Linked DNA regions of Nothobranchius furzeri. The protein of the gene in region 1 purifies or fractionates together with the protein of each later gene. This does not show direct contact. Links are inferred from orthologs where the notes say so. Each region holds a gene or a part of one and is shown on either strand. Other genes may lie near its edges. The genes, in order: blnk and syk.

Region 1 (16,784 bases):
TTTGCCATTTTCTCCAAGGTAAATCCACTTAAATGTTGTACACGTGACGACCCGAAAAGTAATATACAGGCAAATAAAACTGTATCAACTCTTGGGATAAAAATTCGGAAGTACCGTATTTTCACGACGTGGGTTATTAGGGAAATACCGGGTGAGCAGTGTTGATGCATGATTGCGCATGCGCCATGAGCGGTTCTGGTACTTTTTGGGTCGCAGCCGCTCGCTGTACGTGCGCTCTAAACCAGGACTATACCTGTAAAGTGAAGCATGCTGTTGGCTGTTTATAATTTTCACAATGTCTGGTTTGCACTAATATGATCCGAGTCCCGAGCTCGCACAGATGTTTTACCGGTTCATTTCATAACGATATGTATATATAAATATAAAATATATATATATGTACATATATATATATATATATATATATATATATATATATATATATATATATATATATATATATATATATATATATATATACATATATATATATATATACATATATATATAAAATGTATGAAATCTCAAAAAGCAACAGGTAAATCATTGTTAGAAAGTCAATGTTTTAATTGTGTATTTTTATTTTTTTGCAGTTGCAGAAAACCATTGCTGATGGTGGCCAACCAGCTACCAAAAAGGCAAAAATGTCCAACCAGAACATTGAGGACGCATTTACAAGTACTACAAAGTACAAGAGTGATGCCAAAGAACAACAAATTAAAGAAGAGGCTATCGCTACATGGATTGGATGTACAGGATTGCCGGTCACAACAGTAGAAGATGAGGATTTTATTCTGATGATGGAAAGTTTGGATAAGAAGTTTACTGTGCCAAAGAAAACCAAGATAAGTAATCTAATTGAAAAACACTATGAAAACAAAAAAGCTACATTTAAGAAAAGACTGTCTAGTGCCAGAAAAGTATGTATTGGGACTGATCTGTGGACTAAAAAGGGACTGACAGCATCATTCCTTGGCATAAGTTGCTGCTTTTTCTGTGTTGAACAACAAAAACCAGAACACTTACTGCTAGCTCTTGAACAACTTGACCATCCACACACTGCCCAGTCCATTAAGGCTTGTGTGGGAAAGTGCATGCAAGAATGGGGGATCCTAAATGAGAAAGTTCTCACCGTAATAACAGACAATGGTAGCAATATGGTGGCAGCATTCAAGCATAGTGCTCCAGAAGATGAAGATTCCAGCTCCGATGATCCAGATGCATCCATCCTAAGTGAAAGTGATTCCAAGGAGACAGAAAACCTGCAGTGTCAAGACCTAGGCATGTACAGGATGCCATGTGTCATCCATGCGCTGCAGCTTGTTGTCCACATGATAAACAAGGAGGAAAGCATCAACAGAGTCTTGAACACAGTACAATTAATCGTGAAACTTTTTCGCAAGTCATCAGTGGCAACACAGAAGATTTTGGATGAGTGCGGCCTAACTGTTGTGAATGACTGCCCCACACGCTGGTCAAGTACTTATGAAATGGTTGCACGTCTCCTCAAAGTTAAAGAATCTGTTTGTGAAGTAGCAGACAAGATGGGATGGGACTGCTTGCTCTCAAGTGAGTGGCAGAAGCTGAAGTCAATGCAAGAATTTTTGCAGCCTTTTGCTGAACACACACAAACTCTTCAGAGTGACACAATGTCTATGTCATTAATACTCTCTGCTCTCTTTGATTTACTCAACCATCTGGCAGATGTGGAACAAAACACAAGTCGAGATGTTGCTGCTCTAGCACGTAAAATGGAAGGGAATGTGAACCAGCGTTTTGCCTGGGTACTTGATCCCTCAGATGACAAGTTTTCCCCACTTGTAGCAGCTGCTTGCTTTCTCAATCCTACTGTGGGAAACGCAACCGAGCAAAGGTCACACTAGCACAAAGTGCTTTTCTCAAAATGAATCGCACCAAATAAATATTCACACTGTTTGGTTGAGCCTGTGTTGTAACAAGTGAATATCTATAGACTCAGGGTTAACATGTTTAAATTTGCTGTTCTTGTAAATTCTTGTTGTGCAATTGCTAAAAAGAGCACCTTTGTAATTTCCAGTGTGCTTTTTGTTTTTTATTAAACACGTAAGTGTTAAACATGTGAAGTGGTTTTTTAAATTCAAATATTCTATGTTCTTAGCTGTGTGCTATATCTGATCAGTGGTGGTTAAGAGTTTGGACCCTGTGTATTAAATTACACTAGTTTTTCCGTGCTCTATACAAAAGTAGGAAATTACTTCATTCGAAAAAATATATGCATTTTGTTGACTAAAATTGCTTATTTTTATCGACTAAAATTACTTGTTATTTTCATCGACTAAAATGGGACTAAAACTAAAATAAATCTAATGACTAAAATTGGACTAAGACTAAAATTAATTTTTAGCCAAAAGACTCAAATAAAATTACAATTCCCTGTCATAATTAACACTGACCACAGGCAAAACAAAAACGTGTTGTGTAAAAACGGCTATTTTCAGCACATTTTTAGGTCCGACGTGTTGCCACCAGACGTACAGTGTAAGCAGTCAGGTCGCATCCGAGAACTGGGTCGTACAGTGTGAGCACATGACTCGTGAGATCTGCCGTGCGAGGAAGTCATACAGTTTGAGCTGAAGCTGAGTGCTACGAGTGAAAAAGTCGCACAGTGTCCCCCCAGCTTAAGGCAGAGAGGAAAGTATCTCTGTCTGTCCCCAAAACAATTTTTATCTGAATCTGGTGCCCTTGGAGCCTGTGAGGATGAAGTGATACCCCCCCCCCCCCCCCCCCCCCCCCCCGAAGAAATGTGGAATGCTGCCGTCGCTATGGAAACTCTTTCTCCCTATCCCAGCCTGGGTGGGACTGTGACCGGTGAAGGCCGTGGAACCATATCTAGGCGTCAATGTGCTCTCTAACCCATTATCTCCCTCCCCTGTCCAAACGGAGGTGATGAGCGCTGCCCCATGCGGCTGCACGCACTGAAGTGAGGAGAGTCCCAACCCTACCTCCCCACCTAGTGGACACTTATGTTGTGTATGTCTGAAGTCTGTGTGCATATCTGTCTGAGGTGGGTTTTTTTGCATAGCAAAGCTGCCCTCTCTGTGGAGGGTAACTCTGAAGTGCCTTTTTCCCCTCCCCCTAACTCTATCCTCATATAAACCTTCTTGTTCTATTAAGGTAGCGCGACTCGGGTTGCGAATGACCACAGTCACCAATTCTTGTCATGTGTCTATGTATGTATGTCTGATCTCAGAATTGTATGTACTGAAACTCTAATTTCCCTCTGAGATTTATTAAGTATGTTTGAATTTGAATAGAAATTTTTTTTTAAACTTTCCCAACACTGCATGGAAAGTGTACCCAAAACTTAAACTGGGATTTCTCAAAAACTATAAAAGATATGAACATGAGGCTTTAATATACTAAAGCCTCATGTCATCCATCCATTTTCTTCTGCCCATTAGGGGTCGGGTCGCAGGGGCAGCAGCCTAAGCTGGGAGGCCACTTGGAACATGAAAAAATCCTAAGGCGTTCCCTGGCCAGCCGAGAGACATACCGTAGTCCCTCCAGCATGTCCTGGGTCTTCCTTCTAGGCCTCCTCCTGGTTGGACGTGCCCGGAAAACCTCACCAGGGAGGCATCCAGGAGGTATCCTGACCAGATACCCGAGCCACCTCAACTGGCTCCTCGTGTCATGTGACCCATTTAAACTTTGAATGACATTTCTAATTTAAAGCAAAAAAATCTGCTGTGTTTATGATGTAAATCATGCAGGAAACATGCTGGAATCAGAATGCAATGCTGGAATATCAGCTCAACTACAGTAGGTCCAACAGGAGCCAGCAACTCTGAAGATGCAAGAGTGATATTCTGGCTACAGAGGTTGGTGGGGTCTGAGTGACTTTTCATTAACCCGGTAAAAGGTTGATGCAGTGCAGCTGAAAAAGGTTTTCTAGGCAGTCTGAACCAGGTGAGTCTAGATTTAACGGTGGACAGTGAGTCCGACTTACGCACGCTTTCACGCCACACCTCAAACATGTCCCACAAACAAATGAAGCCTCTGAACTGAACGTGCTTCATTTCAACTTCTGTAGTCTTTGTTTTCTTTGCTCTTTGGTTCATCATTCCACTCAGACGTGCTTTGCTCTTTGCTTTGCTTTTTGTAATTTTAGAGTTCTTCTTTTATTTTAGACAACTAACTGGAAATTTCTTCTGCCAGTGAAATGACACTTCCTGTAAGTTGCAACAGCAACTCTCTCTCTCTCTCTCTCTCTCTCTCTCTCTCTCTCTCTCTCTCTCTCTCTCTCTTTCTCTCTCTCTCTCTCTCTCTCTCTCTCTCTCTCTTTCTCTCTCTCTCTCTCTCTCTCTCTCTCTCTCTCTCTCTCTCTCTCTCTCTCTCTCGATGATTAGGAATAAATATTGTTTCTGTTTTTAAAATTTCACCTCAGCTCAAACAAATTAGGATTTAGTGTTTTCATCACATTTAGCTTGTATTTGCTTTAACCCTTTGATGCATAATGGTCACTACAGTGGACAGATACACAAAATTGTTATTTATTTATTTTTGCTATTAAGCACAGCTGTTGAAGACTTTAATGCATGTGAGCCCCTCCATTTGGGCTTCAGCAAGTCAAGCCAACATATTTCATGTTCAGAATGCACGCTGTCCACTGAGATGGACGTGTAATAAATTATTTGTAAATTAACAAAATGTTACAAAAAATATTTGTTGAAATTTGTTTCATTCACACCTAAAGATGAATGGAAAAAAATGCTTAAAAATCATGGTTGAAGATTTCATAATTCATGCATCAAAGGGTTAAAACATCTGCATCTTTATTCATTGAATGAGTTTCCTGTCCCTACTCTCTAGGGTCCTGGTACTTCATGACCACGAAGATGATGAACGTGCAGAAATGCAGGTCCTAACCCCCCCAGGCAAACACATTACAGGGTCATGAGCACATCCTGTGTGCAGACACCAAGCATTCGTGTCTTATGGGATCTTTCATGGAATAGAGAACAATGGGCCGAGTCAAACACAATGGAGTTCAATGACTGGGACCAGTTTATGATGCTTTTACAGAATCAAACTGATAAATATTTTTTCGCATGTATATATTTTTATTTTACCTCTGTTCTCATCTTATATTTGTTTCTTTTATCTGTTATGCCAACTAGGGATATAAGGAAATATCAATAAGGCAAAATATCGCAATAGTTTTTCCTGTGATGTTATATTAATATTCAAAAGCCGAGTATTGGACTTTTTGGAAGAATTTACAAGAAGCATTTGTGTATTTTCTTTTCTTGTGATGCAGTTCAAACACCAACCACTAGTTAGCAGCAGTGTTCAAAGGGTTTTGTTTCCACCACTGAAATGTGATTCCCTCTGTTATGGTTCAGATTCTTAATGTTCAACATGTTACGTACCAGTTTGGACTGATTATTGAATTTTCCTACAATAATTCAGTCTAAAAATCGCAAATGTAATAATTTATCATGATACTTCATGTCACCAGAATTTCACCAATACACATCCCTAATGCCAACTATACCACTTGAGTGTCTTCCATTCTGTAGCCAAAGCGAAGACACTGCTAGCTCACTTCTCATTTTATCAGATCATCTTTTTTATTATGGTTGATCACGTGCCAACAAGACTTACTGACAGGGTTCGAATAATGCAGGTGCTAAGGGGGACCGGTTTCCCCCAAAAGTGTGATGGTTCCCGCAAAAGCCCTCAACCAACACATGAAAGGAGGACCCTAAAAATGATGGATTTTCAACTTATATTACATTAATTTTATGGACTCTACGCATACCATGTGTTCTGTCACAAACCCCCCAAGGTGCTTTATAACACAGTCATCCACCCATTCACACCGTAGTGATGATCACTTGATATAAGCCACATGTTGACGCAGCAGAGCTCAAACTCAGGCCCTGTCCACACGTAGCCGGGGATCTGCCAAAACGTAGATATTTTTCTACGTTTTGGCCTGTCATCCACACGAAAACGGAGTTTTTTCACACGAAAATGGATCTTTTTAAAAACTCCGGCCAAAGTGAAGATCTGTGTTTTCTCTGTTTTGGGTGGCTGCGTGTGGACGGACGAAACCGGAGTTTTAAGGTCCGCAACGTCACTTTCCGCCACAAAAAAATGCTGACATCACGTGTGCGACCTGTGTTTACACTAGCCGACAGCATGGATGCCCTCAGAGCTGCGCTCGCTTTATCACTTGTCCGAGCGCTTTTTGTTTGTTTTTGCAAGCGGAATTACTGCTCCTTGCGAAGACCACAGACGAAGGACGAGGTTAAGAACGGGGGAAGTACTGCCGCCTACAGGTCTGGCATGTCCTTAACAACGTATTTATCCGGGTACGTGTGGACAGAGTTTTTTTTAAAAGCGAGGTGGTGTGGATGCAAGTTTTTGGAGGGGCGGATACTCATTTTTTTAAAAACCCGGCTACGTGTGGACTAGGCCTCAGATTCCCACCAGGCCAAAATGAAACACTGGGACAAGATTTGTGTCTAAATGACTGAAAAGATGCACATTTCCCCTTCGCTCCAGATAAGTATTGTTCATTTGGTTAGGGTTAGGAAACAAACACTGAACCAGATTGCACACGAACAATTACATTTAATTAAAATACACTTCCGTGGTATTAGTTAGTTGTGTCTCAATGTTTTATTTATCTTTTTATTCCTTAAGTGTGTGCATATTCAGCTTCTTCGATTCTGTTTTAACCTTTGAGTGTTAAGAATCTTTTAAGTATTTCTGTTCTATCTTTGCTCTTATTTTTTATTCTCCTGATTTGCTCTTGTAATGAATGTCATCGCTGCTGTAACTTTCCCACTGAGGGACAATAAGGGGATTTTCTATTCTATTCTTCTACATGTAGCCTTTCCAGTTCCTGTTTAACTGAAGGTAAAATCATTTTTAATAAATAGTTCCCATACAATGAAAATGCCATATTTCAGTTATTAACTTTCATCCATTGAGTAGAAAAAGTGCATGAAACCACAATAATTCACACTTGGTTTGCTCCAGTCTGATATAGTCTGAAGCTCACTGGTTTAAGCCAGGCCTGCATTGGTGGCGTTAGGCTCCGAGCTGAGGAAGGTGTTCATTGGTGAGACGACTCCTGTGTTGAGTGTGTCCCTAAACTGGAGCTCAATCAGCTCTGTCTGGAGGTTGGTCGGTGCCCTCTTCACATTAATCGTGAAAAGATTACTGAGCTGTAGAAATCTCCTTTTCTGGTTCTTCAGAGTGGGCTAATGGCCGGGTAAACTCGGAGTATCTTCAGTTTGCCCCAGAGTGACGAGGGTTCTGCTGCAGACGCCGACACTGCTAGCATGGATGCTAATGACTCTAAACAGAAAGGAGGGGGCCCTTTGACTGATATGCTAATGCTGCAAAGCACTATGGGATTTGTAGGATTTGTGACAAATGCATCAGCTGGCCAGTTCTAATTCATATTTGATCTCATGGCCATTTATAAATACACCACGGGCTAGATTTGGCTCGAGGGCCTGAGTTTGGTCACAAAGCCAGACAGAAACTTTGTGTCTGACAGAAATCAGAGCCTTGCAGCTCCCACACAGCGAGGAGAAAAAGCAACAAGAAGGAACTCGAAGCAGAAGTACGAAGGCTTATACTAACTTCCACTTTAGGAGGGAAGTAGTGCATGCTGTTGTGTTCCAACGTGTCATGTTTCATATCCTGCTTTTGTCCTTTGGTTATGCAGAATCACGCTTACCGTCATAAATATCCGACTGATTAATGAAACAACTCAGTTTCAACAGGTAACAAGGGAAAACAAGAAAGTAAACAGCCTGTATTTGATATAACGCCTTCTAGAGTCCTGGAACCCCCCAAGGCACTTTACAACACAGTCATTCACCCATTCACACCCTGGTGAGGATGAGCTACGATGTAGCCACAGCTGCCCTGGGGCACATTGACAGAGGCGAGGCTGCTGAACACAGGCGCCACTGGTCCCTCCGACCACCAGCAGCAGGCAAGGTGGGTTGAGTGCCTTGCCCAAGGACACAACAACAGGGACAAACTGAACGGGGCTCGAATCTGCAACCTTCTGATTACGGAGCGAGAACTTCAGTCCTGTGCCACTGTCGCCCGAATGAAAACATGAAAAAATCATAAATGAATACAAATGAGTTCCTCAGTTAATTTGTTGGACCAGCTGTTTTATAACCCAGTCGTAACCTTTTCTGCAGGATTTGCTAGTTTGTCTGTAATCCGGAGCTCAAACGACATGACTGAGCAGACAGAAACAAGAACTTAAATTAGAACCTGGAGAAACTCACCATGAGTCTGTGTCCATTTATCTTTAATCTGATCACAGTTGCAGCACATTCTTGCATTTTATTCTGAGGATTACAAACATAACCTTCAATTCCATCGTGCTTTTAGTCACAACATCGACTACTTAATCGTTAAATAATGAGAAAATGGTCCATTTTTTCTTCTAATTTAACTCACCTTGCTCATAAAAACGGCTACTTGTGTCTGGTCCCACCCCTCACATTCCTGTCTGGTCGGCAGGTTCATGTCTGTGTCTATGGGAACGTTGGAGCAGCAGTGTTCAGCAGGAAGTTGGAGTAAGAGACTGAGCTCTGCATCAGCACACACAGGGAGGTCACCTCATTACAGGAACAACCATTCCCTCACTGGCTCTTTACATACACTGTGTTGTAACACCCCCCCCACCCCATCCCAGGTTATGTTGCAGCGTTAGCAAAGGGGAAGCAGGAACTTCCTAATCTGTGAAAACCTCAAGAACCCGAAGGTGTCATAATAGTGGAACTGCTCTTCAGCCCTGCCTTCATGCACGCTTCCTTTACTGTAAACCTGTAGGACTGCCAAGGCACCAATATTATTGCACCTTTACTCCAATTAATTCCTCATTCTGTCAGCATTTGTCTCTTTCAGACCCACAGCTTAAAGAAATGTTCAACATATGAGTCACAACACGCTTGAACGGTATTTCTGCGTCATGCAGCAGACAAAACTAAGAAATTTTGTTAAACCAGGTGAGAAAAATCACACCCACCTCCCGTAACTCTCAAACTCAAGTAGACTTGCTGGAAGAAACTTGATTCAGCGTTTAAACTGGTCACAGGAGTTTGGACTTTACATGCCTGACTTGATTGCTTTTACATGATCACAGCACAGGTTTGGTTTCTATAGCAACACTTGTTCCTTCTGAAATACATTGGGCTTCACATGCCTGTTGAATGTGCAAACATTCTTATAGACCCTTATGATGATTACAATTAATGAAAAAGCGTGCCCTCAAATGGATGCACATCACCAATCTACATGTGTTTTGTGGATTTGGAGAAGGCATCCCACATTGACCCTCGGGGGGCCCTGTTGGAGGCCCTGTGGGCCCTGTGGGAGACCCTGTGGGAGGCCCTGTGGGGGGTACTGCAGGAGTATGGGCCCTCTGATACAGGCTGTTGGGTTCCTGTATGATCGGTGTCAGCGCTTGGTCCACATTGCAGGCAGTAAATCGAGCTCAGTCCCAGTGAGAGTTGGACTCTGTCAAGGCTGTCCTTCATTCTGTTCATAACCTTTATGGACAGGATTTCTAGGTGCAGCCAAGGTATTGAGGGGATCTGTTTTGGTGGCCTGAGGATCAGGTCTCTGCTTTTTGCAGATGGGGGCCTCAACTATCGCCACACGTTGTGAGGCTGAAGAATTGCACATCAAACCAGACGATCAGTAACATTGGAGCACCACAGGGGACTGTACTCTCACCATTCCTTTTCACCCTGTACACCTCAGACTTCCAGTACAAATCAGAGACCTGTCATCTACAGAAATACTCAGATGACTCTGCAGTTGTCGGGTGTATCAGAGATGGACAGGAAGCTGAGTACAGAGAGCTGGTGGAGCGCTTTGTGGCATGGTGTGGAAACAATCATCTGACCTTGAACGTGAACAAAAGAGATGATTTTAGACTTCAGAAGAAACAGGGTGGAGTCAAACACCGTTTCCATCATGGGAGAAGAAGTGGAGGTAGTTGAGGAATACAAATACCTTGGAGTTCACCTGGACAACAGACTGGACTGGAGAAAGAACAGTGAAGCTGTTTACAAGAAGGGACACAGCAGACTGCACTTCTTGAGGACGCTTAGGTCCTTCAATGTCTGTAGCAAGATGCTGCAGATCTTCTACAAGTCTGTTGTTGAGAGTGTAATCTCGTCAGCCATCGTCTGTTGGGGTAGTAGCATCAGAAGCAGGGACCTGAAAAGGCTCAACAGCCTAATAAAAAAGGCTGGTTCTGTTCTGTTAACAACCAGGCTCCAAGCTACCTATCTGAGCTTTTATCCCCACACACCTCTTCACGGAACCTCCGATCCACATCTGAAAACCTCCTGGCTGTTCGTCGAACCAGACTAAAAACCAAAGGGGACAGGGCCTTTCAGTCTATTGCCCCCAGACTTTGGAACAGTCTACCTTCAAATCTCCGTCTCTTGAAATCTGTAGAGGTCTTCAAAAAACATCTTAAAACTCACCTTTTCATCCAGGCTTTCCCCTGCTAAATATTCTAAAAGATGGCCTTGTTCTTGTTCACACCTTGACTTTGTTTTTACGCCTGATTTTGGTTACTATTGTTGTCACTGCTTTTGTTTTTATGATGTATTTATTGGTTTGAGGTATTTGCCCTGATTTTACTCATGTTGTACAGTGCTTTGTGATTTATATCTGTGAAAGGCGCTCTATAAATAAACTTTACTTACTTACTTACTTCTGGGGACGACTGTGGAACCACTGGAGGAGATAATGCAAAGAAGGATTCTCCAGAGATTCAAGAAAATTATGGACAACCCTGAGCATTCTCTTCACAAGACTGTCCGACAACAGAAGAGTGTCTTCAGTCAGAGGCTTCTTCAGTTTCGCTGCAACACTGACCGCTACTGGAGATCCTTCCTGCCAACAGCCATTGTAATATACAATAACTCTTTGATGACTTGATTATTATTCTGAGCTACTACAGCAATCAATTTCCCTCTAGGATTAATAAAGTATTTTTGAATTGAATTGAATTGAATTGAATGTGGTCCTGTTGGCTTCATCAGAACGTGATCTTCAGCTTTTACTGGAGCGGTTCGCAGCAGAGTGTGAAGCAGCTGGGATGAGAATCAGCTCCTCTAAATCTGACACCATGGACTTGAGTCAGAAAAGGGTAGAATGCCTTCTCCAGGTCAGGGATGAGGTCCTGCCCCAAGTGGAGGAGTTTAAGTATCTCAGGGTCTTGTTCACGAGTGAGTGATGGAGCGTGAGATCGACAGGTGGACTGGTGCTGCATCTGCAGTGATGTGGGCGTTGTACCGGTCTGTCGTGGTGAAGAGAGAGCTGAGTCGGAAGGAAAAGCTCTAGATTTACCGGCTGATCTACGCTCCTACCCTCACCTATGGTCATGAGCTTTTGGTTGTGACCGAAAGAACGAGATCACAGATGCAAGTGGCTGAAATGAGTTTTCTCCGCAGGGTGGCTGGGCTCTCCCTTTGAGATAGGGTGAGAAGCTTGGTCATCCGGGAGGGGCTTGGAGTAGACCTGCTGCTCCTCCACATTGAGAGGAGCCAGTTGAGGTGGTTCAGGCATCTGGCCAGGATGCCTTCTGGTGAGGTTTACTGGGGATGACCAAGGGTGGTGGAGTGTTGCCCGACTGGCCTGGGCCGAGTGAGGACCACCATGGCCTCTCTTGTAGATTCATCCATGACCATCACAGCCCCTTGATGCTGCTTCTTCCTGTTTAACTGCATATTTATTCTTGAAGCTACAAGATTAAATCTAATGAAATTAAGTAAAATAAAAGCTATTTTTAACCAGAAAGCGTTTATTTTTTAAATGTGACCATAATCAGGATTTATTTTAAAACTGACATTTAGGTCTAGAAATGGTTTTCGGACATGAATCTTTGGGGAAAGAAAGTACTTTGGCCTGTTTTTAAAATGCTAAATCAGAACTTCTCTTTACTAAAAACAGGAAGAAAACAAAACAAAGTAAACGAACGGTTCGGTGGAGCTGAGGTTGAGGATCGATCAGCGCTGTCTGTGTGCTCCTAACCTCACACAGTAAACTCTTTTCTTTAGATTGTTCTTGAAAACCTTTGAAGGCATCTTACTAATATATTGTCTACAGTACATTTAATAAAATATTCACCCAAAAATGTCAAACAGGTATTTGGTCAACCTGGGAGTGAAGATGGACAATGCCCTGATGTCCATGTTGGTACTGTGGTGTTTTCAGCACCTGAGATGGGTGGCTAAAGTCTAGACAGGATGGTGAGACGGTTGTTCATGCTTTTATAACCTCACACCTGGACTACTGTAACATGGGGTAGGTCAGAGTACAGTAGCTCCTCTGCAGCTTGTGCAGCAAGATTCTTAGGTGGCAAAAGAAAGTTTGATCACATCACACCTGTTCTGGCTGCCTGTGGACTTCAGCATTGGGTTTTAGCTCCTTTTAATGGTTTTAAGGCTTTGAATGGACTGGCTCCAGCTCATCTGATGGAGTTGGTGCAGCCTTGTGTCCCTGCTGGTGGCTCCTAGAGCTCGGCTAAAGACGAGAGGGGACAGGGCGTTCTCCGTAGCAGGACCTGAAGACCCACTTTTATGGGTTGGCTTTTAACTCTCTGGGTTAGATGTTGATCTTTTACACAATTTTATCAGTTTTCCTCATTCCTGTAAGGGTCTCTATAAAGATGATGATGATGATGATGATGATGATGATGATGGTCCAAATGATCCAAAAACTACTTGGAACCGCAGCTCTGATTCTGCAAACTTTTTCTTTACGTTCATCAGAGTTTAGGCTGATGATGTGAGAATCTAACAGAAGCACAGGTGTAGGTGTTTCATCTGAAACAAATCTATGGTCTTTGAATGATTCCATCTTAAATCTCTCATTCACTCATTTCTTTAAACCTGCTGTGGTCTCTAGTATGAATGAATGAATCCTCGTTCTCTGTGGGGAAAAAGCTCTGGAGAACCTGCGAACGTCCAGCATGCACATGCATGCTGAGGGTGACCCATGGTATTTCTCTTCATCCGATCCATGTTTGGCTTTTAAATGTTTGATTCTTGCCAGCAGTGAGAATCTATTTTCTAGAGGTTTAAACTTTAAGCCAACTAGAGGTTGTAGAGTTCTTCATCTTCAGATCTCTCTTCTGCAAAGCTTTTGTTCCATTTTGTACTGAGGTCTGTGCCAAAGTTGTGGTTTTTATTAGCAACCAAAGTGTTGGGAAGTTTATTGGTCATGAAGAAACAGAGGTCCATTTTGTAGCTCCGTGTTTCTTCACCAGGCTAAAATAATGATGATGCAAAACAAAAGACCTGGGGTCTCATTTATCAAGCTTGCTTACGCACAAAACGGGGTCGGAAAACTGCGTAAGCAACTTTCCACGCAAACTTTGGGATTTACAAAAGAAAACTTGGCAGAAAAATGTGTGCAACTTTAAGTTGACTAAGGACCTGGCTTACGCACATGTTGGACATGGAGAGCACCTGCAGTGCTGCTGCTGAGAAGATACGATTATGAAATCCTGCAACATTATCACTTGTACACACACACACACACACACACACACACACACACACACACACACACACACACACACACACACACACACACACACACACACACACAGAATGCTTATCTTTCCTAAAATGTCCACTGAAGCTAATAATTTCTGAAACATTTACAGGCAGTAGAAGAAAACTGGCATTTATATTTTGAACAACCGATATTTTAGTTTTGTCCTATAAAAGTGTTTCTATTTAATCACAGTGAAGCAATGAGCCATCAGAGGATTACATTCTCAACACAGTCCAACACCCACAAAGAGAATCTTGCAGAAGACCAGAACTTAAAGTGGATCAAGCAACTTGAACTTCCCTCTATGAAGATCTGGTTGTTGTAGTTGATAACTGTGGATGACATAAAAAAGAACTACTTTTGCTCTCAGTGTCTTGTTAGGGTTACCATGGCAACCATACACCTGTAAATGACCCGGTCCCTCCGACTACCACCAGCAGGCAGGAGGAGTTAAGTGTCTTGCTCAAGGACACAACAGCAGATCAATCCTGCACCCTTTTGGTTCCTGGAAGACCCGCTCTACCTCCTTGATCCCACAACAACCAACCAATCAGATGGCAAATGTTGATGCAGAAAACAGCGGTTTTCTAAACATCTGATGTATTGATGTCTGTGTGCACGTCTCAGACTCTTATTGTGAAGGACTTCCTGTGTGCATGCTAATTCAGGCGTGGTCTTTAATGGGAGTTTATTTGCACCAACAAATAAAAGCCTAAATGTTTTTGGACTGATATCACCTGATGTAAATAATGAAAAGATGCATTTTTAAAAAACGTATAAAAATACATGCATTTGTTTTTGCAAATGAACTCTTGTTTTGTGTTTTATTCTGGAGACAAACACCCAGAGCCCTCGAATCACGCAACGGTCGAGTTTAGGGGATTCACTTCTTTAGCTATTGCTCAAAATACCTGAAAACATTATTTCAACTTTTATCTCGAAATTCTGATTTTCTTTTTTTCAAATGTCCCCCTCCACCGTAATAAAGGAACTGTGGTTCTCCTCTTCCAAGCTCTTATCTCAGGGAACTCAGATGCCATCCTCTGACTAAACAAACGTGCTGATAAACTGGGAGAATTTAAGCGCCTGATGCAGGAAGCATTTATCTCAGAGATAAGAGGTAGATTTTTACTGGCTTCTAATTGGATGGAGGCCAGCAACCTCATATACTGCTGACTGATTGGAGGGTAAATAGTCCACCAATTAGTGGTGTCTGCCCTTTGACACCCGCTAACCCTGGCCACTTGGCACTAATGAGAGCTGTGTAATAATATCTGTCAGAAGAAAACAAGGTGCTCTTATTGTGGCGAGGACGATAATGAGGCTCTCTTAATGAGACGGCCCGTAGTCATTTAGTCATGTCCGTATGGGCTCCTGAAGCAGGTGCCGTTTCTACAAGCAGCACTCATTAAAACCTTTTCTTTATTCAGTTATGTAGTTTTGCTCTGCAGAGTGACTCTTCTTGTAATCATGTTTGTAAATTAAAGCACAGACAAGCTTACAAAACCGGTCTTTAAATCTGTCTCTGGGCTGCTTTCCTGACCACTGCATATGCAGCAACACTCCCCGGGTAAATGCTGCTAATCATCAATAGCTGGCACACACCACACCTGTATGTGTGCCAGTGTGGAGTATGAAAGGTGGGCCCTCCTGGGAAATGCCCACAATGACTCCTGCTTTAGGCAGGAAGCTAATTAAAGCCGTAGAGCAGATGGACCAGACTTGACTCTGGACATAATGAGACGGTGAGTGCGAGACAAACTGGACAGCAGGACAGATGCAAAGGGGTGTGTGAAGTGATCAGGACTTTGGCATCTTACAGCATGGGAGGTTTTACAACACCATGGAAAATTCTGGACCAGGAAGAGCCTGCAGCTGTGGGCTAAAGTTTTGAGGATGCCACAAACAATATCACAAAGTTTGCTGCTTCGTTCTTCAGACATAATGTCCTGGAATAGAATTTAATCCCAAACCCCATTTGCACTTTTGAAGAAGGCTTCGGGGTGCCCAGAAAAGTCCAGCAGGTCCAGGACAGGAATGCAGCCGCTACTTCTGAGTCCAGGGAGTGGACCAGTCCCAGTTTAGTCGTAGAACAGCCATAAATAAAGAATGGTACCTAAACATCCTCCCAGAGGAACTCTCCAACAGCTTGGTGGCGATCAATGAGTACGTTTACATGCAGCCAATATCCGGGTTATGATCGGGTTAAGGTCGGGATTCGGGTTTCTGAGTTGATCAGAATAACCCGTTTACAAGCATAAATCGAAAGAGTTACCCCTAACTTGCATAACCCGATGTAAATGCGGACGTTGGGGTAGCGTCAGGACGTATGGACTACGTCCAGACGCAATATGCGTCATTTCCGGTTCTTCTTGTTCCGGTATCCATGAAAACAACATGTTTCCCAGTTCGGAAGAGATAGAGACCGCGTTTGTTTGCGCTTTAGTTTCCTCGTCACTCAAAGTGTGGTGCTGTGCCGTGACTCGCCATTTTGCTCCCAACTTGTTGTTTACTTCCGGTGTTCTGGCGCATACAAGACGTCTCGCTACTCAAAGGACCAAGATTCCTTGCGAACAGAGCATGCGCAGAACAAACGCTTTGATGGGGATATCCCGATATGCGTTTACACGACCAAGCATTCGGGTTAGAAAAGGGTTACCCCAGGTGTAGTAACCGGGTTTTTAAAAATCCGGTTATGAGCATATCCGGGTTTTTGGCTGTGTTTACAAGGACCTGCGGAACCGGGTTATTGTGAATATTCGGGTTTTAAAAGGGTTACTGGCTGCATGTAAACGCACTGATTGTCTTCCTCAGCATGACGGTGTCATGATTCGCCCCGGCCTCCCTGACTGTGTCACTCCTTCCGTAATTAGCTTTATTGTTCTCACCTGGCCCTCGTTAACCTGCCCATGTGTTCCCTGATTGTTCTGTGTATTTATACCTCCCTCTTTGTTCCTGTCGTTGTCGGATCATTGTCGTTTTGTGCATGTTCGTTTGTCCTGTCGCTCCCAGTCTATAATTAAACCATTTTTATTTTTTCATCCATTGCTTGCTCTTCTGCCTCCTGAAACCCACCACCACACATGGTCTGCCATCTCCACCCGCAGAACATAACAGACGGAGAACCAAGCCAGAAGAATAAAGTCAGAACTTTGTACATCAGGACCAGGATCAGT
Region 2 (16,646 bases), on another chromosome or scaffold:
GTGCAGTCACCTTGTGGATAAGGGAACCATTTACGGCATGGATGGACAATGCAGGAAACACCTCCTCGACTGGAATCAAAAGTTCGCTTACCACTGCCTGGGACATCAGATCCCCATCAGAGCCGGAGTCAATAAGGGTGTCATATTCACCGTGTCTCGTCCCATATGTCAACCGCACACTGGTGGGTGGTCGTGAGGGCGGAGAAAAGGATGACACCCGACCCGCTAGCTGCATGGGCTCCGAGGGCGGGGCGTCACTGCCCAGGTGAGAAACACTCACAGAAATCGGGTGAGGACGAGGTGAAGAAGTCAGTGGGCGGAGTTCATCATGAAGGCGCTCCATCCTCCGCCGATCGATGCGTACAGCCAGATCGATAAGATCCTCCAGCTCCTCAGGAACCTCCCTCGCGGCTAGCTCGTCCTTGAGCTCGCTGGAGAGCCCCTGAAGGAAGACGTCGACCAGTGCATCATCAGGCCAGCGGGAGCTTGCCGCCAGCGTCCGGAACTGTACTGCATAGGACGCTACGCTGTCATCTCCTTGTTTGAGCCGGAGCAGCTCAGAAGCAGCCGCGCGGTGCGGTGTTGAGGGATCAAACACCACGAGGAGTTGAGTGGAAAAGGCCCGGAAGGAACGAACCACCTCCGCTCCACGATCCCACTCAGCCAGTCCCCACCTCTTGGCTCTGCCCGTCAGGAAACTCAAGGCAAAAGCCACCTTGCTCTGCTCCGAGGGGAATTCGCTTGGATTAAAGTCAAAATGGAGCCGGCAGGAGGTGAGGAATGGTCGACAATCCTCTGCGGTACCAGAAAAAGTTTCAGGACGACCCAAACGAACCTGTCGAGGGGGAGCAGGCGCTTGCTCCAGTCTGGCTACACAGGGACGAAATTTTGATTTCAGAAGTGGGGGGGGGGACACAGCAGGCTTGTGCGGATTTGGGGTGGGGGGTGTTATGTAAAGACCCCTTGACACGTCACGTGCCCATCTCAATAATTTTTCCATCCTCTCTCTCTCTCTCTCTCTCTCTCTCTCTCTCTCTCTCTCTCTATATATATATATATATATATATATATATATATATATATATATATATATATATATATATATATATCAAAGTTAAAAAATGTACAACTCTATTATTATTTTTATTTATTATCATTATTGAAGTGCAGTTTTGGCTGTTGACAATGGATAGGCCATTGTATTTATTGTTTTTGGGTCTTTTTTATTGTTTTTGGTGCAACATTTTCTAACAGGGAGTGAGATTCCTTTTTTATTCAATTTTTGTTTGTTATTTTTATTCATTTAGAAGTTCTGGTTCTGGACATTTCAATGTTAAATGAAGGTTTATTTGTTGCATTTTAAAGGGTGTACTTGCATTATTATGATATATTAACATTATATTAGTGGTTATTTTGGTCTAGATAATGTTGACAATATCGTTTATCATCAACAATTTGTTGGACAAAATATCGTCCAGCAAAATTTGTTTCTTTCCCAGGCCTAGTCAAAAGTATAAAAATTATTTATACATAAACGGTCTCTCCTGAGATCTGGCCGTTTGTTCATTTGCTGTGTTAGAGGACATGCTGAACTAATGTTTTACACATGATCATCACCCTAACATTTGAGTGTATAAAAACATATTAAATATGTTTTTTCCCTTAAAAGTGTTTAAACAGTTGTTGCATTTCAACACACAAAAAATAAATGGAAAAAATAAGATAAATCTAATGAAAAGTGTACATCTTTGACATTAAGCTTAAAAAAATCTGTTGACGATGATGATACTGTTCATTTTTCAGAGCTTTTTAATGTGAAAATATACATTGCAATAGATAAGTTTACAATAAAGTTAAATGATAAAAGTTTTGAAGTTACACTTCTACTACTACTACTACTACTAGTAATAATAATTATGATGATAATAGTAATAATAAAAAATAATTATTATAATAATACGAACAAATTGTGTCTGAGGAGTCAGTTATGTGGAGGAGATGAGTTTGTAAAAGTTAGTTTTGAGTATGTTTGTGAAGGAGGAGGTGAGTCTGAGCTTAATGCAGGGGTGTCACATGTCCAACTTACGTTTTGACTTTGAAAGAAGTCTCTTATATCCACTTTTCGTTTTCTTGACATGCTGCCTCCTGGCTGTGCCTAACTACCAAAGACTCACAAATGAACACTTATTCAAATGTTATGTAGCGTCTAGTTGACGATGTGACTCAGTACCGGTGTTCCCTAGCGGCTCCAAACTAGCAAAACAACGTGAGCACGTTCTGACTGTTTACAACTTGAGTGACAGCAGCAACAGCCAATAATACGTTAGCAAGTATCAGCAGAGCCAATAGATTAGCTTTTGGGCGGGTCTAATAGTAAACCGGTTTCCGTTTCGGTCCTAGTGCTCAACCAAATCCATTTAATGGAGCGTAACATTGATTTTGGACGGAAAAAAGTGCAGGGGACCAAAACTGCCTTTTGAAAAAGTGGGGGGGACATGTCCCACCCGTCCCCCCCCCAAAATTACGTCTCAGTGGCTACACGTCCATGCAACTGCTGCAACCCTGACATGCAGCTGCGGAGCTCCTGGGTCAGAACAGGAAGGCTGGCTTCTCCTGCAGCACTCTCACCAGAGGCAGGTAAGGAAGGGTCTTGTCTCTGGGTTCTTCCTGCTGGGTCAGACATCTTGGTGGAGTTGTAATGTCACGGTTTGCCTCTGCAGTAACCCATTTGCAGGAATAAAGATCCTTTATCCAGAGTTCAAAAAAGATTTAATAAACAAAACCTCCTCCACTGACTGTGGGAACCAAAAACCAAAACCAAACTCAATCCATACAAGTACAACTCAGCAAAGACAACTCCACACTGATGACTGGCAGCAGTGGCCTGAAATAGGGTAAGGGCAATCAAGATGATGTGGTTCAGCTGCAGCACTCCAGGAGGTTCACAGGGAAGGGGAGGATTCCTGAGAGGAGCTGCAGCTGACCTGAACAAAAAACAACAGAGAAAAAGTTAAACACAAACACAAAAAGGGGTGAATCATAACACTTCGTGTGCGCAGAATTATGCTTAGCATTAGTCCGATGCTGAAGGCTTCTGAACACGGACAGCTCTCACTCACACCACAGGTTTTCAATAATATTCAGGTCTGGGGACTGAGATGGCCATTCCAGAATGTTCTACTTGTTCCTCTGCATGAATGCCTTAGTAGATGTTGAGCAGCATTTAGGGTCATTGTCTTGTTGAAAGATCCAGCCCCGGTGCAGCTTCAGCTTTGTCACGGATTCCTGGACATTGTCTCCAGGATCTGCTGAAATTGAGTAGAATCCGTGTGTCCTTAAACTTTAACTAGATTCCCAGTCCCTGCACTGGCCACAAAGCCCCACAGCATGATGGGACCACCACCATGTTTTACTGTAGGTAGCAGTGTTTTTCATGGATAAGCACCATCATACATTGGTGGTCCTCTCAGTGTCTACACCCCTAGCAGGTCCCTGAGGTCCAGTGACCAAAGCGTAATGGTTTACAATGGTTGATTTATTAAAAATTAATATTCCGAATTAATTCGTAGTATGGTTCCTCTTTCATAAAAGAGCCTAAAACCACAACGCTACAGTTGTGCAGTGCACCAGGCACTGCACAACCATTCTTTAAGTCACAACTGAGGAACTCCTCAAGGTGCTTTACAACACAATCAGTCATTCACCCATTCACACACACATTCACAACCTGGTGGTGATGAGCTACTTTGTAGCCACAGCTGCTCTGGGGCACACTGACAGAGGCATGTCTTCTGTACACAGGCGCCACCGGTCCCTTCGAACACCACCAGCAGGCAAGGTGGGTTAAGTGTCTTGCCCAAGGACACAACAACAATGACAGACTGTGCGGGGCTCAAACCTACAACCCTGCGATTATGGGGCGAGCACTTAACTAATTTGCCATCATCGCCTACATAGAAAAGGTGACAGATCATTTGCTGCTGTGGCCCCCAGACTCTGGAACTCTCTCCCCATGAGCCTGAGATCAGTGGACTCAGTGGTCTCCTTTAAAAAGCAGCTGAAAACTCAACTGTTTAAGCTGGCTTTTGTTTGACCTTCATCACCATCTCCTTATTCAGCTCTTTCTAACTACTCTGCCTTTCTTGGGGTCCACTGATTTCCATCCATCCATTTTCTTTTCAGTAATTAAAGAGCAAGTCACCCCCTACAAGAAACTTACTTCACTCCCACTTCAGGTTTGAAAAATGCAACAAATGCTGTTGCCTGGCAGACCGAGAGGGTGAAGCCGCTAACAAATAAACACACACAGGCTCACAATGGCATTGTGACATCATAATGTACCAGCTAACATCATAGCATGCCTCTTAGCCAATAGCGGTGGCAGATTTAAATTCAAATACAGTGCAGAATTTTTGCCCGACGACGGTGCATCGCTGACAGTTTTAGGCAGAATATTTAAAGGGGCAATATGGAAGTTTGACAGCCAAAATATGTGTAGAAATAATAAATTTCTTCTTCATACATTATCCTGCAATGCCCTGGTCCCGTAGAATGAGCCCTGGCATTTTTACTGTGATTGCTTGTTTTTCTGTAAAATCACAGAAAAAGAGAGCTGCTCGGGTCGAGCAGGCTGCTTCATGCGCGTTCACGCTCAGACAAAGCCCTCCGAGTCATTCTTTGAATGTTGTTTCAGCTGTGATCAAGGATATAAATGTTACAGATAGAAAGAATGTCACTGGCACTCTAGCTCGCCTAGTAAGATGTCGGACTTACGTGCAGAGGATCTGGGTTCGATTCTGGATCAAGCCCCCACAATGCGGGTGAAAAACTGAAGCAATCCTGGAAGTGAAATAAATTGCAGTTGCACCCTCATCCGCTGGGGGCTGGTGTCAGAAGCGAGCAAATCCTCATTGACTCCCATGTTAAAAATACCAATTTTCACAGCAGAAATAAACATGTTTACAGCCTGGTACCAAAACATGTTTTTGGTTTAAATTATCTAGTTTACACTCATGACAACTCTGAGGGGGGTGGATTTTTTTCTCACTCTTCTGTTTAAGTGTATTAAAAGCCTAAAATTCTGTATAATTAATGAGCATCAGACCTACGTGACCGCAGAGCTAGCTCTGGGGAAAGGCCTCAGTCTGATTGGACAAAATTACTTGCTATGGCATTAATTGCACTAATAGAGCGTCCAAGGAGTCTCCACTTCATTTTTTTCAGTAAGTAAAGTTATATTTATGTATTTTAGGTCACTGCCGCTCTTGCACTAGCTGAGATTAGATTTTAACATGTACTGTTTAACCATGAAATTTAAATGTAATAGGGTAAAACCCAGTGCATTTAACATAATGCTGCACTTTAGAAAATGGGTTGAAATAGAACATGTTGGTGGAGCTGGGTTCCGACTATCGGCTTGTGGAGCTCTCGGGAGACCGATGTTTTCCACCCGTTTCTCCCCTCCCCGCAGCTCGGCGCATCTCTGTCTGATCGCCGCTTCTGTCTGCTGCGCGGCTGCCGGCTTTCAGCAGCTTTCGGGAGACCTCTGTGTTCTACCCGGTTTTACCCAGCGGTCAGCCCGGTGTATCTCTGACTCAGAAGCTCTGGTGTTGTGCACAGTTAACTCCGGTTGTAGCTAGGTTGCTACCTCCGTTAGCTTAGCTCCCACCTCCGCGTTAGCTTTGGGTTAGCTTCAGGTTAGCTTGTATCTAGTTTGACCGGGTGTCGTCAGTTGATCCCAGCCTTACAGCCCCACCCTCAGCTCCACCTCTCTTCCCTTTTGTGGAATTGTCTGGGCTTGACGGAACCTGTGACACGGTCAAAATGGCGGTGGTGGCCACTCCCATTTTAGCACAAAAACTTATTATTGGAGTGTATGGTAACCCATTGTCCAATATTTATATGTCGATGGTTCTGTATCATGGGAGTGTGTGTCTGTGTCCAGATGAGAGGAGCTGGAACTCATGGTGTTGTGGATGAGAGCTGTCACATGGATCCAGCCTCTGTACTTGTCTTCAAAACAATGTGACAGGGCTCAGCTGCTGCTCTTCTTGTCTTACTAGACCACTGCTGCCCTTGCTTATGACAGAATGAGATTTACCCTTTTAAAGACAGTCTCACAGTTTGCCTCGAATGTCAGTTTGCGGTCAATAACTGCCATTTGTCCTGTACATCACCGGCAGTGTGTGAGTGTGAAAGTGCATGAATAATGGTGAGCACTTTGACTGCCTAGAACAACGCCATGTAAATCAAATCCATTACTATAATAATAATAATAATAATAATAATAATAATAATATTATTAGGTATTTGTACTCAACTCTTTCCACTTTGGACCTTTAATGGTTGTTAATTCTTATGGATGTTAATCAGGCTCATGATGGAGGTGTTAATAGAGATAAACCTCCTTAAACAGTTTGGTTTTGATGGGTTTGCAGACATGTTGATGGTTTAGATGAAGCTTTGTCATCTGATAAAGATCAATAGGACAGAAACATAAACCAGGTTCTTCTGTTGCTTCTAAATCTGTCTAACTTGTTAATGATGAGTAATAACAGTGGAGGATGATGGGAATTTAGTGTCTACTTGAGGTTATTTTAATTATGAAGGATTTTATGACATCATCCCTCCTGATGGCTGTAGGGATACGTGGCTCAACAGAGGCAGGACCCTCCACCAGTCTGGCTATAGAAAAGAAAAGAAAAAAACCCGAGTTGTTCTTGTTCTTCTCTATTACGTATTAATGAATTATACTCAGCTCCAGCTCAGCAGAGAAAGTTCTCGTTAATAACAAGCTGTCTCTCTAGCTTAAATAAAATTCTTTATGGAACGCTATTTTCTCTGTAACTTTCTTTAAGTCTGTTTTGAAATGTACAGCAATGAATTAAACCAGGGCGCCTCCTGCGCCTTGTGATTTTATCTTGAGAGACGCTATAAAAAAATCTTTTCTTCTTCCTCTGACCGATCACCAACAGAATCAGAGCCTGTAATGTTAGTCTGGAACCTCCGCTGCAACAAGATAATAGATTTTTGAAAAGGTCAAATTCCAGTTGATGTCCTCTATTGGTTCTCACTCATCTCCCTTGTCTCTGGTGGATGGATCTATATCTCTGGTATCCTGCACCTTCTACACTGTAACTGCTCACACCCTTTAAATTAGTATTTTTTCTGATTCTTAAATCTGAAATTAATTTGTGCATTTTAAAGGTGTGGTTTCCTTTTTTAATGATTATTTCAATAACTCTGAGATTTTCATGCAGGCTGAACATGAAAATAATCTAATTTAGTGATGACAAGATGAAGACCCAAAGGAAGGGTGAATCAGAAACTCACCTGATATCAAAAAACAACCCTAGTTAACGTGTGTTTTCATCCAACACTTCTAACCCTGGATTAGAACTAATGGATGAGGTGAAATGTCTTAAAGTAGTGGCTTTTTAAACGATCCCTTCTCTAGGATCACAGATATGGTTAGGCTACTTAGTGCCAATCTGTTTTCAGACATGTTTGTAGTTCTTTGCATGAATCTCAGCTCAGTTTGTAGAAGACCAGTTAGTAACTATTTCCTTCTTCATGTCTCCTTTTTAGGCATAAGAAGTGGAAACAACATTGGACAGTTAATTGTCCACCGTCTTCTGTGATTTTCCAGTTTTGAGGCTCTGGATTATTTATGAAAATTAAAAGTCATTCACAAGTATTTTATTTTTCTTATTTTCTTTTCAGATTAATTTTATGCTGGAGGCTGAAATTTGTGACAAGGCTGCTTGGAGGCCATCAGCACCTAAAAAACAACATGGCGGACACCATGAATGCGTTGCCGTTCTTCTACGGCAACATCACAAGGGAAGAGGCGGAGGTCTACCTGCGGCAGTCAGGCTTGACCAGTGGCTTGTATCTGTTACGACAAAGCCGAAACTATCTAGGCGGCTTTGCGCTCTCTGTTTCATTCTCAGGCCGCATCTATCACTACACCATTGAACGACAACCCAATGAGACGTTTGCGATTGCCGGTGGTAAGAGCCACAGAACCCCCATGGATGTGATTGACTACCATTCCCAGGAGATGGATGGTCTTGTGTGTCTGCTGAAGAAGCCCTGCAACAGGCCCAAGAACATGCAGCCAAAGGTGGGGCCGTTCGAGGACTTGAAAGACAAACTCATCCGGCAGTATGTAAAGCAGACCTGGAACCTGCAGGTTAGTTTCTCTAGCATTTACATCCTTCAGGACTGATCGACTATAAACTAGTCTGATGTTGTATCTGGTCTTAGAGAGAACAAGACTAACGTGTTGCTTTGGTCCTAAAACAGCTCAGAGCTCTTAAATCTCTTAAATTTCACCTTGGTTGATGTGATGTTATTCAATAAACTCACCACGAGTCTTACTCTACATTAAATTATGTAGTTATTCAAGAGCCTAATTATCCACAGCAGCAGGTAAGTGTACTTCTGGTTCATCCAGGTATTGAGTCCAGCAGGAATTCATCTTTCTGCTGAAACCTGAGATTTTAGACATTGATGCTTTAAACCTTAGCAACACAATTTGGAACATTCAGGCTGTATCAGTGAGCTAAGGTGTGTGTATGTGTGGACTCAGTTGGGTGTTACTACGTCACTATGGCCCAGCAGCCTCCCCTCAGTCAATGCACACCCGGGGCAGCTGTGGCTACGTTGTAGCTCATCACCACTAGGGTGTGAATGACTGATTGTGTTGTGAAGCACCTTGGCCCTATGTCAAAAACAGGCTATATACAACTATTTTAACTCAACTACAAAACGCATATTGAATATCATATTAGTATTTATATTAGAGAATGATTAGTATATTTGTTCTTGCAGGGAGCAGCTCTTGAGCAGGCCATCATCAGCCAGAGACCTCAGCTTGAGAAACTCATAGCCACCACTGCTCATGAACGAATGCCCTGGTTCCACGGAGCAATAACCCGGGAGGAATCTGAGCCACGGCTCCAGTGCGGCTCCCGCACAAATGGAAAGTTCCTGTAAGTATCTGACCATGTTCACAATAAATGTTCCTAATACTAAATATTAGAGATGTTAGATATTGACTTTTTTACTGATATCCAACATACCAAATTAAATAGTCCAACTTAATAACAGATACCAATCTAAACCAACACCAATGCATGCAGGGTCGCCCTCTTGTTAAAAAACAAACCATGAACATGAATGACTTTTGTGAATGTGTTGTAACGTGGAAGAAAACAGTCTTGGGTAACATCATTCCACATCTCCTATCATGCATACTTAAACTTTAAACATTATCTTTTCAATTGAAGTGCAGCCACTTGTGCCAAACAAACAATAATATTGCTAAACCTCTACCTGGATCTATCATATTGACACTGAGAGGAAAGTAGCTGAAAGGTTTGGTGTGTCATATGTGCATGCTAGAGAGCCTTACTTTATTTTACTTTATATTAGGGCTGCACAGTACATCACAAACGTATTGTCATCGAGATATCGGCTTGCTCAATACACAAATCGCAAAGAACAGGCAAATACACTATGAATGGTCAGCTCAAACGTTTGCTACACACAATGCAAATAGAGTCCTTCACTCATTTGGCCAATCAGGTGGGTTATTTTAGGTTAGATGCAGATATGGGGTGTTTCTCAATGTCAAGAAACCTTGCCTTGATGTCTTGGTCCCGCCCCGGTTGCCTAGGATATACATCATCAGGAGCCGCCAAGGCGTGTTCCAATCGGTTCCAATGTTCATGTTCTACCGAGGCGTGTGTTCTCCGTTTGTTAGCCGCTTAACTAGCAGAGCAAGGATACACGGGAGGTGTCTTGTAGCCTAGCCTTGGTCAAAAATTACCCACAATACACCGCAGTATTTTCAAAAAGACAGCGGATCAGAAGCCGGCAGCTACTTCGGGGACAATTTTTTAGATCCAAAGAAGTTATCTATTGTTGGTTAGTTGCTTAGTAGTTGCAGCTTCGTTGGCTAGCGGGTAGTAACTCACTTTTATTTTTTATTTAATAAACATATACACAATTTAAAAAGTAAAAGGCTTGTTATATATTTATACTGAAACAAATACATATATCTCCCGTGTCATGTGACGTTACGTGACTGCCGTAAAAGCCGCAGTCACGTGATGCAAGTCTGTTCCATTTAACCGTTTTCTTTAAATGATAAATGATAAATGACCTGCACTTGTATAGCGCCTCTCAGAGTAAGGACTCCAAAGCGCTTTACACTATAGTGTATCATTCATCCATTCACACACACATTCACACACTGATGGGGATGAGCTACGATGTAGCCACAGCTGCCCTGGGGCTCACTGACAGAGGCGAGGCTGCCGAGCACAGGCGCCACCGGACCCTCCGACCACCACGAGCAGGCAAGGTGGGTTAAGTGTCTTGCCCGATCACTGGACAATCCGCTCAACCTGTTGAGCTACTGCTGCCCCTTCCTTTGACCGAGAAAGGACAGTGTCCTCGCAAGCAAGGCGCCTGGCCTCGCAAGACATCGCCTCACAAGGCAAGGCGCCTTGACATTGAGAAACACCCATAGATTTGCAGTTTGAGGCAGATGACATTTAATTTAGATGGCTAGCTAACACCTAAGTTAGCTTTGTTCTGCTCTTTCTGCCAATTCTGATTTTCCAGGGATCCACTGATTGGCTTTTTTCATTTTCTTTTCCCCTTTCCTGACGTGTTTTGATCAAAATTTCCCATTTTTATATCTTTAAACTCTTTCATTTTTTTTGTTATTGACGGTCATTGCAAAAGTAATCACTGACACACACATATATATATGTATATACACACACACACACACACACACACACACACACACACACACACACACACACACACACACACACACACACACACACACATAAAATAATTCTGTGCCTTTTTGGCTCAACTTCTTCACACAGACCTGTTCAGGCACATTTCTCCTCCATGCTGCTGGACGACAGAAATCCTGAAACTTCCATGATAAACTTGTTGATTTTAAAATAAACACATAAAATACTATTAAGTGAGAAAAACTACAACTTTTAACTCAAACAGAGAAAATATGTCTGTATGTGGTTAAAATCACGTATTTGAATGTGAAACGGTTAAACCACTGGATTTAAACATTTGCTTTTTAAACTAAGCATCCTGGGAGAATTTATAGCAGTTGAAGTCGAGCAGCAGTGGTCTCAGCTGAATAATCACACACACACACACACACACACACACACACACACACACACACACACACACACACACGCACGCACGCACACACGCACACACACACACACACACACACACACACACACACACACACACACACACACACACACACACACACACGTGCGTGCTGTGGTTTCCGCTCTGACAGTTTGCAAAAGGACTTCCTGAAGTAGCCAAATAAGACAGAGCACAGCAGCCTGGCAGAAGGTCCCTTCTTACAGTCAGAGATGCTGTCTTTCCACACCAAGCTTCCACGATAATACATTCAATTTAACTTCAACATTTGAGATTTGAGGAGATCATCTGACCTACACTATTAGAGCTTCATATTTTATAAAATAATTTTTTATATAGTTTTTAGTGTAGAAAGCTACTCTTATGATGGGTCCTAGCAAAGACAGACAGGTCCTTTTATGAGTTTGCATTAGTTCCTCTAACTCTGGTCTTCTCTGTTGCTAGGCTGTCTCGGCTGGCTCTTTTTTACTTCCTGAACTATAAAAATAGTTTTATCAAGTCACAGCTCCTCAGCTTAAAGATCGCCTTGTAGCAGGTGGAGTTAGCCACCGGTAAAACATTTTTCAAATCAGCAGAAATGTGTTTAGAATCAACACCAAATTTTTCTGTGTGGTTTGAAGATGAGATGAAAGTCTGCTTTGCAGAGGTTTTACAGATCCGAATGTTTCCAAGCTGATCTGAAGAAAACAAATAAAATAAACAGCAAAAAGCACAATAAAATGAAAGAAGTGGATAGATTTAGCAGAGCAGAGAATATGAAGCTGAATATGTAGAAAAAAATAAACAGAAAAAAGAAATTTATCTTACAAATGAGTGAACTAAAGGAGTTTTCTGTGAGAACCCCTTTGTCTTGAGACAGATTTACAGAACAGGAACAAACTTTCTGCCTTTTCTTGGATGTTAAACTCAGAGTATCATTTTATAAACATCTTAGGATGCCCCACTAGTTCCGGATGTTCTGTGCTGTTGCACAAGTTTAGTTTTTATTCTAATTATTTTATCGGTACTGATCACAGATTTGAACGGATCTAACTCTTTTGCAGATGATTGTGGTTTTAATCAAGTTTTATGGATAAAAAAAGCTAATATTAAAAAATGTGTTTCATAGATAGAGATAGAGAGATAGATAGATAGATAGATGATGATAGATAGATAGATAGATAGATAGATAGATAGATAGATAGATAGATAGATAGATAGATAATCTTTACTGACAGACTCTTAGGTCCAGATAAAGAAAAATATAAAACAACAAAACATTAAAAACAATAATGAAACAAAATTGGTAAAAACAAATAGAACAAATAAAAATGATAAAAGCATGAAAATAAAATAAAAATATAAATTATTTTAAAACTTACTATAGAGATGTTCTACACAATTAAGAGTAACCACACAAACACTTCAACCAGTGTTTCCTTATACAGGACAAATAGCGACAACTGCTCACAGCAGGATGAGTGATTGCTAAATTATACTGTTGGCAGAGCTATCCAGTCGTTCTCTAAAAGTGAATGTTAGTTTTCTTAAACGAGCTTTAAAAGTACAAATGCCTGCTGTTACAAACATCTGACTGGCACTGCCCCCTCTGGGTATTTTGAGTAAGATTCTTAAGGCATCACTGTATGCAACATGCAGCTTCTTCATGATGATTGTGGGATGACCACAGTTGGGCTGTATAAAGTGGAGTACAATATGCTTTAAATAAAGCCACCTTAACTGACAGTGAACAAAAACTAAACTTACCTATTGGCCTGTGCATAGAGCTTACAGCACTGTCTATGGATTTCAGCATCTCCACGCATTTGATTGTTTTTAAAGTGGCCAAGGTATTTCACCGTCTCACACACATTAAGATCACTATTAGACAGTTTAAACACAGGAAAGTTTAGCCTTTTATCCTACTTGGTTCTACATATCAAGATAGCACTTTTAACAGCATTATACTGGATATCATACTGCACACCGAATTCAGAACAGATATTTAGGAGCTGCTGTAAACCAGCACCACTTGGACTGAAGACCACCAGGTCATCAGCATACATCAGATGGTTAATCAGAGTTTTACCCAGAAGGCATCCTGTGTTACAGGCTCTCAGCTGCATTGGAATCAGTACCGATCATCATCAGTACATCATTGTGATCAGTACCGATAAAATAATTAGAATAAAAACTAAACTTGTGCAACAGCACAGAACATCCGGAACTAGTGAGGCATCCTAAGATGTTTATAAAATGATACTCTGAGTTTAACATCCAAGAAAAGGCAGAAAGGTTGTTCCTGTTCAGTGGTCTACAAGATGGCGCCCATGAGATGTTGTCCGTTTGCTAGGCTCCTGATCTTTTTTGGTTATTTGGTGTTTTTTATTGTTTCTTCTTTATCTGGTGCGGAGTCCCTTACTGTTGTCGATCAGGTCCGTGATGATCAACCTCCAGAACTCCGATACCGGATCCGCTTTCCCACCGCCTCTGGAACCTGGCGTTAACCCAGGTCTCGGCCCTCTGTTACCTGTCGGCCTGCCGCTGCCCAGGAGGCCATGGAAGAGGAAATGGGGGAAGAGAGCCGGCTTCTTCGTTCAGCTTCGAAAGATCATGAGAGGCGAAGCTCTGCCTGATCGCTGCTCCGCGGCTGTGTTGTGGCGGATCCAACAGAAACTTAACGGAGTTGGGCTGATCTCGCTGCTAAATGGAGCCCCTGATGCAGGACGCTACCTGAAGGCGTAGGAGACAAAGAACCTCTGCGGGAGTAGCGTGGAGTCGCTACGTAGCTTAGCCCGCCAGCCGCCCGCCATTATCGAGCCCGCGGCACACACATTGCCAGATTCCTCCGCGAAAATGATGTTGATTAACGCGCGCTCCATCGCCAACAAGTCTCACATCCTCAACGATCTGTTCCGGACCAAAAAATTAAACTTTTTGTGCATTTCTGAGTCGTGGCAGCACAAAAATGGCATCACTCATCTCCGTGAGCTCTGTCCTCAAGACTGCTCTTTCTTTTCTGCTCCACGGACCACAGGCCGCGGTGGAGGAACAGCTGTTATCTTTAAGAAACACTTTTCATGCCAAATTATATCCTCAAACTCCTACAGCTCATTCGAGATGATCATGATTAAAATTGGTCGAGCTCTACCAGTTTATGGAATTCTGGTCTATCGCCCACCTGGATCTACTTCATCCTTCCTGTCTGACTTTCAGGACCTCCTATCTTCAACTATTAAACTAGACAGGATAATCATTGTTGGAAATTTCAACATCCACGCTGAGGATCTATCTAACAGCTCTACCAGGGAGTTTCTAAACATGATGAACTCTTTTAACTTCTCTCAACACGTGTCTGGTCCCACTCACAGAGCAGGCCACGCCCTGGATCTAGTCTTTTCCTACGGACTTCTTGTTGATAAGCTGCAGATAAATGATGTTGTGTTCAGTGACCATAAGTCAGTTTCTTTTCATATCAACCTAAATTCTGAATCTCTTTTACCAGTCTCTGCTAAGCAACGACGTATTATCAACAGTTCTACCATTTTAAATTTCTCCTCCCTCTTTGACTTTGTACCTCCTTCCTCTGATGACGTAGATCTCCTCACTAACTCATTTAATGATCACTGCCTCAAAATTCTAGATCACGTCGCTCCTTACAAAACCAGCCGCAGTTCCAGTGCTTCTAGTTCACCCTGGCTGAACAGCCAGATTCTTGATCTTAGACGCTCCTATAGAAAAGCGGAACGACGGTGGAAGAGGACAGGTCTGGTTGTTCATCGCGAATATTTTAAAGAACTTCTAGAGTCATACAATGAAGCTGTAGAAAATGCGAGGTCTTCTTTCTTCAAAAACCTCATATGTCAAAATAAGAATAATCCTAAGGTGTTGTTTGATACCATCTCCAGCATCGTGTCTTCTCCTCCGCAGCAGGCTCAGCTATCTTCAGCTGATGACTGTAACAGATTTCTCCACTTTTTTGCAAACAAGGTGTTGAATCTGAGATCTAGCATTCCACCAGCCCTCCCCCCCTCAGGAGGGGAGGCCCCTCAGTGCTCCGAGTCTTTCACCTCCTTCTCCCCAATTACACTAAATGACTTAACCTCAATAATCAGTCAGATGAAACTCTCATCATGCTCATCAGACATCTTACCTCCCTCTGTCTTAGTCGGGTCCCTTGCCTCCATCAGTCCATCTCTGTTGACTATAATCAACAGCTCACTGAGCCAAGGCTGTGTTCCATCTTACTTTAAAAATGCAGTAGTGACTCCTCTCTTAAAGAAACCAAACCTTGACGTCAGCTCCACCAGTAACTTTAGTCCCATTTCTAAGCTACCTTTCATCAGCAAAGTACTTGAGACGGTTGTTGAAACCCAACTCAGATCCTGGTTTTCTAGGTCAAAGATCTCTGACCCCTTCCAATCTGGCTTTCTGAAGCAACACTCAACTGAGACTGCTCTAGCAAGGGTGCATAATGACCTCCTGATGGCTGCTGATGCAGGGAAATGCTCTGTCATGATCCTGCTTGACCTCAGTGCAGCTTTGACACTGTAGACCACAACGTTCAACTAAACAGGTTAAATGCCCTTGCTGGGATTTCAGGTTCTGCTCTAGACTGGCACTCTTCCTATCTCACCAACAGAACATTCACAGTGAAGTCTGAAACCTTCTCTTCAGATACTGCCTCTCTAACATGCGGGGTCCCACAAGGTTCAGTTCTAGGGTCTCTACTATTCGCATTCTATATTCTTCCCCTAGCTGGCATTATTCAGTCTTTCCCAGACATCTCTTACCACATCTATGCTGATGATATTCAGCTCTATATGTCCTTCATGCCACACCAGTTGGACAGGCTGGCCACACTTGTACTCTGCCTGACCCAGATCAGTAACTGGCTGTCCAGCAACTTTCTTGTCCTCAATGCTAACAAGACAGAGACCCTGACCGCTGCACCCCCGGAACTTCAACCAAAAATCGAGCAGGAAATTGCCTCCTTTTGCCCATAAGCCAAGGCCAACATTAGAAACCTGGGAGTTATTTTTGATCCAGCTTTAAGTTTAGACTCACACGTCAAAACCATCTCCCGCTCTTGTTTCTTTCAACTGAGAAACATTTCAAAAGTCCGTAAACTGAGTTCTACTGCAGATCTGGAAAAAATCATCCATGCCTTTGTGTCATCACGCTTAGACTATTGTAACGCTCTTTTTACTGGTCTCAGCAAAACCTCCCTCTCACGCCTTCAAGCCATCCAAAATGCAGCAGCCAGACTCCTAACCAAATCCAGCAGACAAGCTCACATCACTCCAGTTTTACAGTCCCTCCACTGGCTCCCGGTAGAATATAGAATACAGTTTAAAGTTTTAGTCCTGACCTATAGAGCTCTTAACAACCAGGCTCCAAGCTACCTATCTGAGCTTTTATCCCCACACACCACCTCT

The links.
Region 2: the proteins of blnk (region 1) and syk purify together in Homo sapiens (affinity purification with western blotting; 3 studies listed by BioGRID and IntAct, with this or other methods). This does not show direct contact. The link is inferred for Nothobranchius furzeri from reciprocal best matches to the Homo sapiens genes BLNK and SYK.

Annotation. Positions count from the first base shown.
Region 1 is NC_091752.1:13,565,551-13,582,334, reverse strand, and holds the start of blnk (B-cell linker protein), read right to left. Parts: upstream 8,651-16,784; 5' UTR 8,551-8,650; coding exon 8,482-8,550; intron 8,370-8,481; coding exon 8,307-8,369; intron 1-8,306. UniProt on the Homo sapiens protein: Functions as a central linker protein, downstream of the B-cell receptor (BCR), bridging the SYK kinase to a multitude of signaling pathways and regulating biological outcomes of B-cell function and development.
Region 2 is NC_091746.1:36,404,334-36,420,979, reverse strand, and holds the start of syk (tyrosine-protein kinase SYK), read left to right. Parts: upstream 1-7,535; 5' UTR 7,536-7,669; coding exon 7,670-8,194; intron 8,195-8,835; coding exon 8,836-8,996; intron 8,997-16,646. UniProt on the Homo sapiens protein: Non-receptor tyrosine kinase which mediates signal transduction downstream of a variety of transmembrane receptors including classical immunoreceptors like the B-cell receptor (BCR).